Linked DNA regions of Coturnix japonica. The protein of the gene in region 1 interacts with the protein of each later gene in a pairwise test. Links are inferred from orthologs where the notes say so. Each region holds a gene or a part of one and is shown on either strand. Other genes may lie near its edges.

Region 1 (3,747 bases):
AGTTCCTCATCCATTGAGCAGTCAACCCATCAAATCCATACACTTTCAATTTGGAGAGAAGGGTGTTGTGGGGACCCTGGCATTTTCTTTCACAAAAAAGAAAACACAACCACAGCACTAATTTAAAAGAACCTTATACTAGAGACAAAAAAAACGATGCAGGAAGAGACATTTGGTGGGCATCTAGTCCTACCTCCAGCTCAAAGCAGGTCCAACAAAAGTAGGCTGCTCAAGAACTTGTCTCACTGAGTTTCTGAATATCATCAAGGATGGGGAATCCACAGTCTCTCCATTCAATCAGTTCAATGAGACAACTGTAACGCCATTTTTTTTCCCCAGGTTCCAGTCATAATTTATCATGTTCCAGCTTTTACCTGTTGTTTCTCATCCTACCCCTGTGCGCCACCGAAATGTTTGATTCTCCTCTGGAGTCAAGTACCTGTGGTGGGTTTAAGTGGCCACCTTTCTGCCCCTCTCTCACATCACATAGTCCCGTCCCTTAATCTCCCTTATGGCATTCTACTGGACTCACTTTGGTGTATTAATGGATTTCCCAGAACAGGGCACAGCACTCCAGATATGGTCTCAGAAGTGCATGGGAAAGTGAAGAACCACTTCCTCACCCCTCTCTGCATTCATGCTAAAAACAACCCAGTGTGCAGTTGGCCCTCTTTGCCACAGGTCTTTTTCTGCCAACTTGCTTTGTCTCCAGTCAGTCCCCAGAGCATACACGTATTGATGTACAGTGTTACTTCTCAGATTCAGGACTTGGCACTTAACAGTTAACTTCACAAAGCTCCTGTCAGTTCATTAATTTCTCCAGTCTCCACACAGCCCTCTGCAAAGCAGCCTGTACTTGACACACTGCTGCCTCCCTCCCCCCCAAGTCTGAGGCCATATGCAAGGTTTCTGAGAGGCACACCAAAGATTTGTACCAACACGACAACTTCATTGTAGAAGTTCTCATTTTTACGCTTCTTTTTAATTAACTAGGCCCACTCTAGCTCCACTCACACTCCGCACTTACTAAACCTACACTTGACCTCAATAGACCAATTCTCATGAATCAAGACTTAAATATCTGCCTGAGCAGAAAGTTGGCATTGTTTAAATATTACGTTGCTGACTCAGGAGTCATAATAGAAGACATTTCATCTTTATACATCTGCATTGCTCCTACATAATAAATGGTAAGAAAAAAACCACCACACATCCACAGTATCCATCAGGCCTTTCTAATGACACCGAAGCACAATTACTAGTAAAAGCTTCCATTTTAGTGAATTCAGTTTCTAGTACCCAAGACTGCTCAAGTATAAGATGAAGATGATCAGGGGGCTGGAGCACCTCCCCTATGAGGACAGGCTGAGGGAGTTGGGTTTGTTCAGCCTGGAGAAGAGAAGGTTGCGGGGTGACCTCATTGCAGCCTTTCAGTACCTGAAGGGAACTTACTCCCAGGAGGGGAGTAAACTCTTCGAAAGGGCTGATATAGCAGGACTAGGGGTAATGGTTTTAAAGTTAAAAGAGGGAAGATTTAGGTTGGATGTTAGGGGGAAGTTCTTCATTAGGAGAGTGGTTAGGCCCTGGACAGGCTGCCCAGGGAGGTTGTGGATGCCCCGTCCTTGGAGGTGTTCAAGACCAGGTTGGACGGGGCCCTGGGCAACCTGATCTAGTAAAGGTGTATGTTTGGTGGCCCTGCCAGGCAGGGGGGTTTGGAACTACATGATCCTTGAGGTCCCTTCCAACCCGGGTCATTCTGTGATTCTGTGTGATTCTGTGATAAGCAAATCAAATACAGTAAAGTTCTTCTGAACCTCAGTTCACCGCTCTCCAGTTACCAAGATGTCACTTAGCAGCTTACAAACTGCCAAGCATCCCAACACCACCAGCAGCAAACAAACAGCACAGCTACTCACTGCAAGTCTAGGGAGGAACACAGTATGGCACGCGATTGTTACTCTTCCCTTCTCTTTTACAACACAAAATCACATAGCAGACTCCAGAACAAATATCGACTTCCTTCTTGGAAATGATGCAACTCAATTTTTGCCATCAACATACTGTTTCCACTTGAAAACTGTTTGGGACTCACGTTACAAATTTTAACTGCTACTGCACATATCTGCTCTTGCAGATACTCCTATTCTGCAACTACAGTCGAGTTTAATTTATTTGTAGCTCTATCTGTGTTTACCTTCCATGCAGATAAACCTCTGCCTTTTGATACAGGGAAGAGGAACATTCTGTGGTAGAAAAACCACCAACTTTTTTCTTGCCAGAAGGAAGCCATGTTTACCGAAGTGTTATCCTCAATGCCACAGAGAAGCAATTTCACTCCTAACAGCATTTCACAGAGAGACGGCCAGAAATCTCCTTACATTCCTGCATGATGAAGATATTGGATGGTCAACTCCACTGCCAGCACAATACCATTCCTTAAAGCACATGTGATACTATAGTAAAATAAGAAAAAAGATTTACACATTGACGTGCCTGATGAACTAAACCACTTGTCAGCACCAGCCCATGAATGAACACAATGTTTTTCAGCGCTCGTTGTTAAATACCAGATCCTTCCCCTCATAAGACAGCTGCTTACAGACAGAGATGGTAAGAATCTGGCTAGCACTCCAATAACCCTGTTCTGGAATAATATCAGCTAACCTTCACCAAAGCCTCTTCCCAGCCATCAAAGCGAAAGATACTGGGCTGTTATTCCCCCTCCACCAATTGTTAGTTTCTCCATCAAGCTGCAGCTTCACACTTTCATTCAGAACATGTTTTGCTACTTTGGAATTTAATTTAGCCTAACCCATGAAACTAACAAGATAAATTAATGAAATGACAGAAGAAAGAAAGAGTGCAACTTGCCTAGACTATGATTCAAAACAGTGCATGAGTTAATCACTGTTTACTACTTTAAGTTTTCATAGAGGAACAAGACGGTACCCTCCAACCTATATTACACTAGTCAGGTTATTACCTACATGAGCAGCTTCACTTTTGTTGAATACGCAGGACATCAGCAACCTGAACATTTCAACTCTCCTCCTACTCTGAAGACAATTCCTCTGTCTCTCAATGGGGAAACTGTTGTCAGTCTCACGTACCTCATTTATAAACTCAAAAGGTGCAAAGCTGCAAAGATCTCTACAACGCCCCATTCCTTAAATCAACGTGCAAGGCCTTATTAAAACAATTAAAAAAGACAGAAATGCTACCAAAAAAAAAAAGAAGCAAAAAATATTGAAGTGTGAGAAGATTTTAAAAGCCTTGTCAGCCCCTCCCCTCCTACATCACAAATCCCTCAGCTCCTACCTGCAAACCAGAAAGCAAGGCAAGGCTGAAGGCTGTTGTAGTGATTTCCCAGAAATACTATTCAATGTCACAGAAACAGAAAGCACTAAGGATACTTAGGCATATCAGTATTAAACTTTATCTACAGGAAGAATAGCACACTTCACAGAATTACCTCTTCACCAATATTTAAAGTGAAATTTGGTGCTTCCAAGCACAGAAGTCAAATACCATCCAGCTTCTCCCTTTTAAATGTTTCTGGTTCTCCCACCTATTTCAGTACCAAGATGAGAACTTGAAGATGAGAGCAAACTCCCTCTTGTGTTCTTCCCAAATGTGCCCAACTCCTCCCCAGGCACCTGCTCTCCTACTCTGCACCTGCAGAGAAACAGGGGCTGCTCTCCATGCTAAGGTGAAGCTCAAAGCACCAAATGAAGAATAATTAAAGCA
Region 2 (3,747 bases), on another chromosome or scaffold:
AAACAGAGCAGAGCAGGTGAATGATAACTGAGGAGAGACAGAGGGAAGCTGATGTCATTAGAGTGAAACAGCTACAGCACATATATTGAGAGCACAACAATATTAAAGTGCTTTAAGTATTTCATTTTTAATCTTATTTCTTGAGCAGTGAGGGGAAAAAAAATCCAGTGACTGGTTGGTTTACTGATAAAACTTGAAACTTGTTTCTTTTCCCAGCATCTAACACATAACAATGAAACAGTGCATTGTTAGACTGGAATTCCACCAGAAGGACACTTTTCCATCCTTCTTTGCTAATTAATCCTATTTTCTCTGGGACTTCTGAAACAATCCAGCCCTCATTCATTTCTGAAACAAGCCGATTTAGTTTCTCAGCTTCCTGCTGTTTCAATGGAAAGGAAAACGTGTCAGTTTTTCCTATGACCGAAATGATAACGTCATTTTTTTGGATACCTCTGTTGTAGAAAAGGAAAATCAGCATCAGAAACCCTATGAAAAATACTGACAGTTTATATAAATACTTGTCACACGCAGGTTTAACAGAAGTCTGTTCTTAACCTATTCCAGCTGTCTGGACTTCAAGTAAAAGCCGCAGATGATCAGAGCTGATAATTGTTGGCAGCGTCCAGAAAAAGGTACGTGTACTTCTCGACAGTTGTTTTAAGGTAGATGTGAGCAGATACGTGACTGTTAATCATTAAAGGCACTTTATATCTTGTTACATTTTTACTCTGTCCCACTTACATATTTTAACCCTTTTGGAACATTTCCTCTAAGTCCATCTTTTCACTTACCATAACCCAGGCAGCACCACGCAGCTGCTTTTTAGTCTCACCATAAAGCCCCAGGATCCAAAGCTGTGTGCTCATCTCTCTGCTCAAAGCATCCATTTACCAGCAGAGCAGCGTGCCCTCGCTTGGCCTCATTTTGTTAATTGGGATTCCGCAACACAGGGCTGCGTTACAGGCACTGCTGGGTGCAGCCCTCATGAACAGCTCTGTGGGCAGCTGGAAAGAGCCAACACACCTCACCAGTGCACCTCACCAATGTGCCCAATGTGCCCAATGTGCCCAATGTGCCATGGTCTGACAACCAGCAGAAATGCGGCTACGGAATTGTCTTTTATCATTTGTTCCATAGAAATGTGATATAGATTCTGAGAAAATGTAGTAATGTTGAAACAATGATTTTCTTACCTCTAAGTCTAAAGGGGAAAATTAAAAAAAGAAAGCACAGCGATAGAACCAATTGGGTAACAGGAGCTGAGCGTTCTCCTGGCCTGCTGTTATGTAAAACATTACAGTTCTGTAAGCTGTTGGCAACGCGACGGGAGAAACAGGCATAGGGCCGCGGTTCGGCGAGTGCGGAGCAGCAGCGAACAGGAGCCGGCGCACAGCGGCTGCTCGGCGGCCCTGCCCGCACCCAGCGCTGCCCGGAGCGCTCCGGACGGTGCGGGAGGGTCGGGGCGCCTCCAGCTCCGCCGCCGAGTGCCGGCAGGCGGCTGCAGGCCCGGCAGGGCGGCGGGGCCGGAGGTCAGGCGGGAGGGCGGCACCGCGGGCCCGGCGGAGCGCAACCCGGGCCGGGCCCACCCCGCGCTGCCGACACCGGCCCGGGGCCCGAAGCTGCCGAGGCTTCCCCCGTCCCGCTCGGTCAGAACGGCCGCAAACGGCTTCGGCCTTCCGGGTCGCCCCGGTGACGGCCCGGCCCGATCCTTTCGTTCCGGCACCACCGAATCACGGATTCGGCTCCCCCCGTCCCCCACCCCCTCAGCCGGACCCGGACCCGGACCCGGACCCGATCCGTTCCCCCCGGCCGCGCTCACCGTCGCTCTCGGGATCCGCGGAGCCGCTCCCTGCTCGCGGCCGCCGTCACCTGATCGCCCCGGAAGCGCGGCCCGGCGGAAGGGACCGGCCTCTCCCCGCCGCTCCGCTCCGCGCTGCGGGGCCGCGTTCCGCCCGCACCGAGCGGTCTGTGCCACCGCGCTGTGAGTGAGTGAGCGCTGCCTGCCGCACCGCGGGACAGCGGCCGGATCAGCCGGATGAGCCGGGGCAGCGCTGCCTGGGCGCCGCGTCTGCCGTCCCGCTCTGCTTTCAGCGCAGCCCGTCCGTCGCGAGGCGCTGCGGGGGCTGCGGCCCGATGCCTCCCACTGGAACGAGCGCGGACTGCGCGTCATCCGCGACAGCGAGTGTCCGGGAGAGCGGGGGAGAAAGTGACAGCGGGGAACGTTACACAAAGGCAACGGAGTGCGGTGCTGTGAGCAGGAACAGCTCCGGGGACAGAGCGAACAGCCTCGAGGAGGGATTTGTGTGTACAGCTACGAGGAGAGGACGGGCCCGGGGCTGTCAGAGCTGGGACAGACTTGGAGCGGGACAACCCCAGCCTGGAGCCCAGCGCCCTGAGAGGAGCGCAGTGATGAGTGCGAGAGGAGCCTCTGTTAGAGCAGGGCGCTGTGTGAGCCGTGTCCGCTGCCATAGACGGGCTGGGAGCACGCGGATCTCACGGCACGTTCGGACGTGCCAGCTGGGAGTTAGTGTCAGTGTAAAACCGTGCGGGGCTGAGCTGCTCATCCATCGGTACCGCCGGTATGGACACGGTGACCCGGCAGCACTGCCACAACTGCCGGGCACTCGGTGTATTGCACCAGCGCAGCCCTCGGACCAGCGGGTGGAGGCGGTTCCCCGTGCCGTCTCCTCGCTCCTCCCGTTCATTCCCCGCCCTTCCCGCCGTTCTCCTCCCGTTCCGATCGCTCCGGTTCCGCCGCGGCCATCTCGTGGGGCTCGGTGGTACGGGACTACATCGCCCGGCATGCCCCGCGGCACGGCGGGAGAACTACAGCGCCCGGCGTGCCCCGCGACGCGCGTGGCTTCAACATGTCGGCGCCCAGGGCCGGCCGTGGTGTGGACAGCAGCTCGGACTCGGAGAGCAGCGACGGGGCGGCGGAGCGGTACCGGGAGGCGGCGTGGGACTGCGGGAAACTGCGGGCGGGCGGTGAGCGGGAGCGGGGTGACGGCGACCGCTCTGTGCGCTGCACGGCTGCTGCATGGCCGCTGCATGGCCGCGTCTTCCTGACGTGCCCCTTCCCTTGCAGGTGCCGTTCCGAAGGATCCGCCGCAGGCAGCTCGGCACAGCCTCAGGTATCGATCGTGTTCTGCTGAGGGAACACATGAGCTGTGCTGCTCAAGGCCTTATTGTGCCGTTGGAATCGGTGTGATTGCGATCTGAAGTGATGCTTAGTTCTAATAAATGAATACAGTTATTTCGGAAGTGTATTTGTCATCCCTCTAGCAGTAAAGCAAAAGTAATTGAAAACAAATGTCTGCTGGCAGTTTCACGAGTTCAAGTTAGCAGAAATGCCTCATTGTGCCCTAATTCTCCCGTGCCCCTGCCATGAAAAACGTTAATAGTTACATACAACAAAACTGATTACTTGAAAAATAGAGGGTTGTATGCAGAAGGGCAAATAATTCCAGTGTGACTGAAAACCTGATCCTTTATTGGGTGGGAAAGCAATGTCTGAATTAGGTGCTTTGTACCAAGGGGGATGCTGAGCTACGTAAGCTTGCAGCATTTCTGCAGGCTTGGTCTCAGAAGCTGCCAGCTGTGCAGCTCAGCGACATGTTTCTTCTGGGACAGATTTGCATGAATTGTGGCAGTGCATTCAAGAAGCTCCTACCAGAGCGGGGATGTCCTGCCATCATCTCTTTGCTTCTGCAGACTGTTTCAATGAGAAAATCATCCCATTGCTGC
Region 3 (3,740 bases), on another chromosome or scaffold:
ACTGCCCGCCACCGCCACCGCCACGGGGCACTGCCCAGCGCCACCACCACGGGGCACTGCCCAGCACCACCACGGGGCACTGCCCAGCACCACCACCACGGGGCACTGCCCAGCACCACCACCACGGGGCACTGCCCAGCACCGCCACCACGGGGCACTGCCCAGCACCGCCACCACGGGGCACTGCCCAGCACCGCCACCACGGGGCACTGCCCAGCACCATCACTGCCCACCCGCCGGACACGCGCTGCCCTCAGCACACCGGAGCGCTCAGCTCCTTCTCCCGGCTGCCAGCCCCCCCAGCCGGACATCGCGGCAGCTGCACAAAGCGGAGCCGCCCGCAGCCCCAGGCCGCTCCGTCAGCAGCTCAGCGCTGTGCACCCCCCGCCCCGCACCCCCCGGCCCGGCGCTATGGTTGTGCAGCTCCTCGTCCTACCGCTGCCGGTCCCGGCCCCGCACCTTCCCACACGCTCCGCTCCGCCGTCGCTCAGCCGGAAGCAACCGGTGACCCGGATGCGGAGAGACGCCCCCCCCGCCAGCAGCCTGCACCGCCGGAACGACACACGGCGCCAGGGGATTTACCGGCGGAGGCGCGAGCAGCTCCGGCCGCACGACAGGACAGGGCAGGGCAGGGCAGGGCAGGGCAGGGCAGGGCAGGGCCCGCACGGCTCCTCGCACGGCTCACGCTCGCACGGGCTGACGGTGCGAGCAGCACCGGGCAGCTGACAGCGGCGCCCCGGAAGTAGATAGCCTCCTATCTGGAGTAGTACTTCCGGTGCGTGACGTCAGAAGGGCCGAGGGCGGGGTGTCACGTGGCCGCTCCCCGTAGCTCCGGTCACACCCCCGGCCCGGCCGCGTCCCGGTGCCGCTCCGCCCCGTGGGGTCCGGCCCGGCGTGCGGTGGGTGCAGCTGCGGCTGCGTTGGAGCCGCTTCCTGGTTGGCGGCGGGAAGATGGCGATGGCGAGCGGCGGGGACGGCGGGATGCGCAACCCCGAGCCCTGGGCGGACCTGATGGCGCGGCTCACCTGCCCCGTGTGCCTCGAGGTGTTCGACAGCCCCGTCAGGGCGCCCTGCGGACACGTGTGAGCGGGACGGGACGGGACGGGACGGGATGGAGGCCGCGAGGGGCACTCTGGGCGCACGGGGAACGCGGGGAGCGCCGGGCGGTGCCCGCTGTGCTCACGGTGCTCACAGTGTCCGCTGTGCCCGCTGTGCTCACGGTGCCCTTGTCCCGGCGCAGGTTCTGCACGCCGTGCCTGCAGCAGTGCCTGAAGCCGAAGAAGCCGCTGTGCGGTGTGTGCCGCGGCGCGCTGAGCGCGGGCAGCAGGGCGCTGGACCTGGAGCAGCTCATAGAGAGCACCGAGACCAGCTGCAGCGGCTGCGGCAAGAAGGTGGGAGCCCAGCGAGGAGCCGGGAGGGCCGGGCTGGGTGCGGTGTGGGACGCGCTGTCCGCGCTCCGCAGGGATGTGGGTCCTCCTCCGTTTCCTATGGATGCTGCAGAGCTTCCCGACCCGCTCGGTTCGGTGCCCGCTGCTGAGGTGTCACGTCGATTCCTCTATTCCTGCATAGTGCTGCTTTCATTGTTGCGCTGATAGAAAGATGTAGTTCCTCGATCGCCACTTGTTAAGTCCCGCAAATGAAAGTTCAAATTAACAATAAGGAAATCTGAATTTAAACCTATGCCACAGTAAGTGTAGAAAGCTGAATTATTTCCTGTGTCATCTCTTCTCAGTAACAAAATAAGCTGACTTCCTATAAGAATATTTCCTGATTCTGGAGTATAAGATAAGGAAAGTATGTGGAACGGTGTTGTATTTCTCAAATGTTACAGGCAGCAGTTATACATTAACTGATTTATAATCTCAGAGCTTTCCAGCTCACCAGATGAAATGTGCGTTTCTTCCTGTTTTAGCACTACCTGCACAAAGCTTTGTGTGTGTCCTGCTGCAAACAGTTTAAGTGCTGTGTGATTGTTGTCTATGCAGATGTTCCTCTCAAAGATGCGCAGCCATGCAGCCTCCTGTGCAAAGTACCAGAATTACATAATGGAAGGTGTGAAGGCTGTAACTAAAGAACCACTTCACAATGCCAGGTAAGTAGCTCTTCTCTGGAAGTACTCATCTTTAGGATCACAAAAAGAGAAAGTGAAAGCAGACTTTCCCTCTTTCCTTAGTTTGTGTTTATTAGCATTTGATGCTGTTAAAAATAAGCCATAATCCTGCAACTGACTGCACATAATCAAACTATTCTCCTCCGTGCAGTCTTTGCACAAGACAGGACTGGAGTACTTGATAAAAGTAGCTCCCTATTTAATAATAGCTGTCTTTCTGTCTCTTGATTGTAGTAACTTATAATGAAGGGAATGTGGAGCTGACTGCATTGCTCTTATTTGCATTTGAGCGTTCTGGGTGATAGGTACACTGTGCGCTTAGAACATGAAAAATATAAGATGATAAATGGCATTTATAACGTTTTTTGAAGAAATACCTTTGTGTAAAAGTTTACGATGTGAAGATTTCTGTAAGATGTTGTTAAGAATTTAAAAGATGATTCTTTAAATTTGCCTGTCATGATTGCATGGAATAAGATCATTGTTTTGAATAATTTTTATTCTTAGTCGCTATTAAGATAACTTCCAAGTAGCAAATTCAAAGTCTTTTAAGCTATTCTAATTTTTGTGTGTGTGTGCTTTTAGCTTTACTAATATGACAACGTATTTCATCTTTTTCCCCCTCAACCAGGAACTTCCCAAATCGCTTTACCTTTCCTTGTCCGTACTGCAGTGAGAAAAACTTTGATCAAGAAGGACTAGTTGAACACTGCAAAACATTGCACAGCATGGATGCAAGACAAGTGGTAATAAAAAGTCTCAGTGCAAGAATTGCAATGAAGTCTAGTCTTAAATCCCCTTGAAACAATGAATTAGACACTTAGTGCTTAAAGTTAATTACAAATTTATACTTGCTTCTGTTAATGTACAATTACATCCACTTCACATTCACCTCATATTTGGAAAATGGTAGGCATTCAAAGTACATTAGGTAGTCCAGGAAACTTCTTTGTTTTTGATTAATGAAGTTTGAGATCTTCTGAAGTAGACAACAGTGACTGATTCTCATCTCCTCATCTCCAATATGTAGAGAGAAGAATAAACCATTCTCATTCAGAGGCGTAAGAAATCAATTTAAATAAAAGCCTCTGTTAAACCTGAATGTTGAGTGGCCCAGCAAAGTATTTGATGTCACTTTGCTTAGAGAATAGTAATCGTTACGAATCTCAGGCTTTAGTGTTCCACACTCCCTCTCTTCTGCCCTTCATAGTATAAATGTTGAACACACTTAACTGTTGGGGCCTAACTGACTTAATTTTTTCTTCAAGGTTTGCCCAATTTGTGCCTCAATGCCATGGGGAGATCCAAATTACAGGAGTGCTAACTTCATGGAGCACCTTCAGAGGCGACACCGGTTTTCATATGATACTTTTGTGGTATGTATTTTCTCACCCTTGGAGTACATGAGCTTGATGGCTCTTAAAACACAGCTTTTTACACAGTCACTGCTATGTAATCTAATTTATGAAGAGGGTATCATGAGAGAAATTGGATTATTGGTAAGTTAGAAAATGAGGCAGCTGTTTTCTGTTTTTATTTTGTGTTACATTAATCACCATGGCTGTTGCAGTAAAAGAATTTCTGTACTTTTTGTTCATAGGATTATGATGCTGATGAAGATGATATGATG

What was found.
Region 2: the proteins of UBE2K (region 1) and RNF185 interact in binary tests that used the Homo sapiens proteins (3 or more experiments, as listed by UniProt). The link is inferred for Coturnix japonica from reciprocal best matches to the Homo sapiens genes UBE2K and RNF185.
Region 3: the proteins of UBE2K (region 1) and RNF114 interact in binary tests that used the Homo sapiens proteins (3 or more experiments, as listed by UniProt). The link is inferred for Coturnix japonica from reciprocal best matches to the Homo sapiens genes UBE2K and RNF114.

Annotation. Positions count from the first base shown.
Region 1 is NC_029519.1:62,495,630-62,499,376, forward strand, and holds the start of UBE2K (ubiquitin-conjugating enzyme E2 K), read right to left. Parts: upstream 2,355-3,747; 5' UTR 2,348-2,354; coding exon 2,195-2,347; intron 1-2,194. UniProt on the Homo sapiens protein: Accepts ubiquitin from the E1 complex and catalyzes its covalent attachment to other proteins. In vitro, in the presence or in the absence of BRCA1-BARD1 E3 ubiquitin-protein ligase complex, catalyzes the synthesis of 'Lys-48'-linked polyubiquitin chains.
Region 2 is NC_029530.1:8,057,136-8,060,882, forward strand, and holds the start of RNF185 (E3 ubiquitin-protein ligase RNF185), read right to left. Parts: upstream 2,598-3,747; 5' UTR 1,823-2,597; intron 1,491-1,822; exon of another isoform or gene 1,197-1,490; intron 1-1,196. UniProt on the Homo sapiens protein: E3 ubiquitin-protein ligase that regulates selective mitochondrial autophagy by mediating 'Lys-63'-linked polyubiquitination of BNIP1.
Region 3 is NC_029535.1:12,350,803-12,354,542, reverse strand, and holds the start of RNF114 (E3 ubiquitin-protein ligase RNF114), read left to right. Parts: upstream 1-833; 5' UTR 834-951; coding exon 952-1,082; intron 1,083-1,240; coding exon 1,241-1,391; intron 1,392-1,985; coding exon 1,986-2,092; intron 2,093-2,741; coding exon 2,742-2,856; intron 2,857-3,378; coding exon 3,379-3,486; intron 3,487-3,710; coding exon 3,711-3,740. UniProt on the Homo sapiens protein: E3 ubiquitin-protein ligase that promotes the ubiquitination of various substrates. In turn, participates in the regulation of many biological processes including cell cycle, apoptosis, osteoclastogenesis as well as innate or adaptive immunity.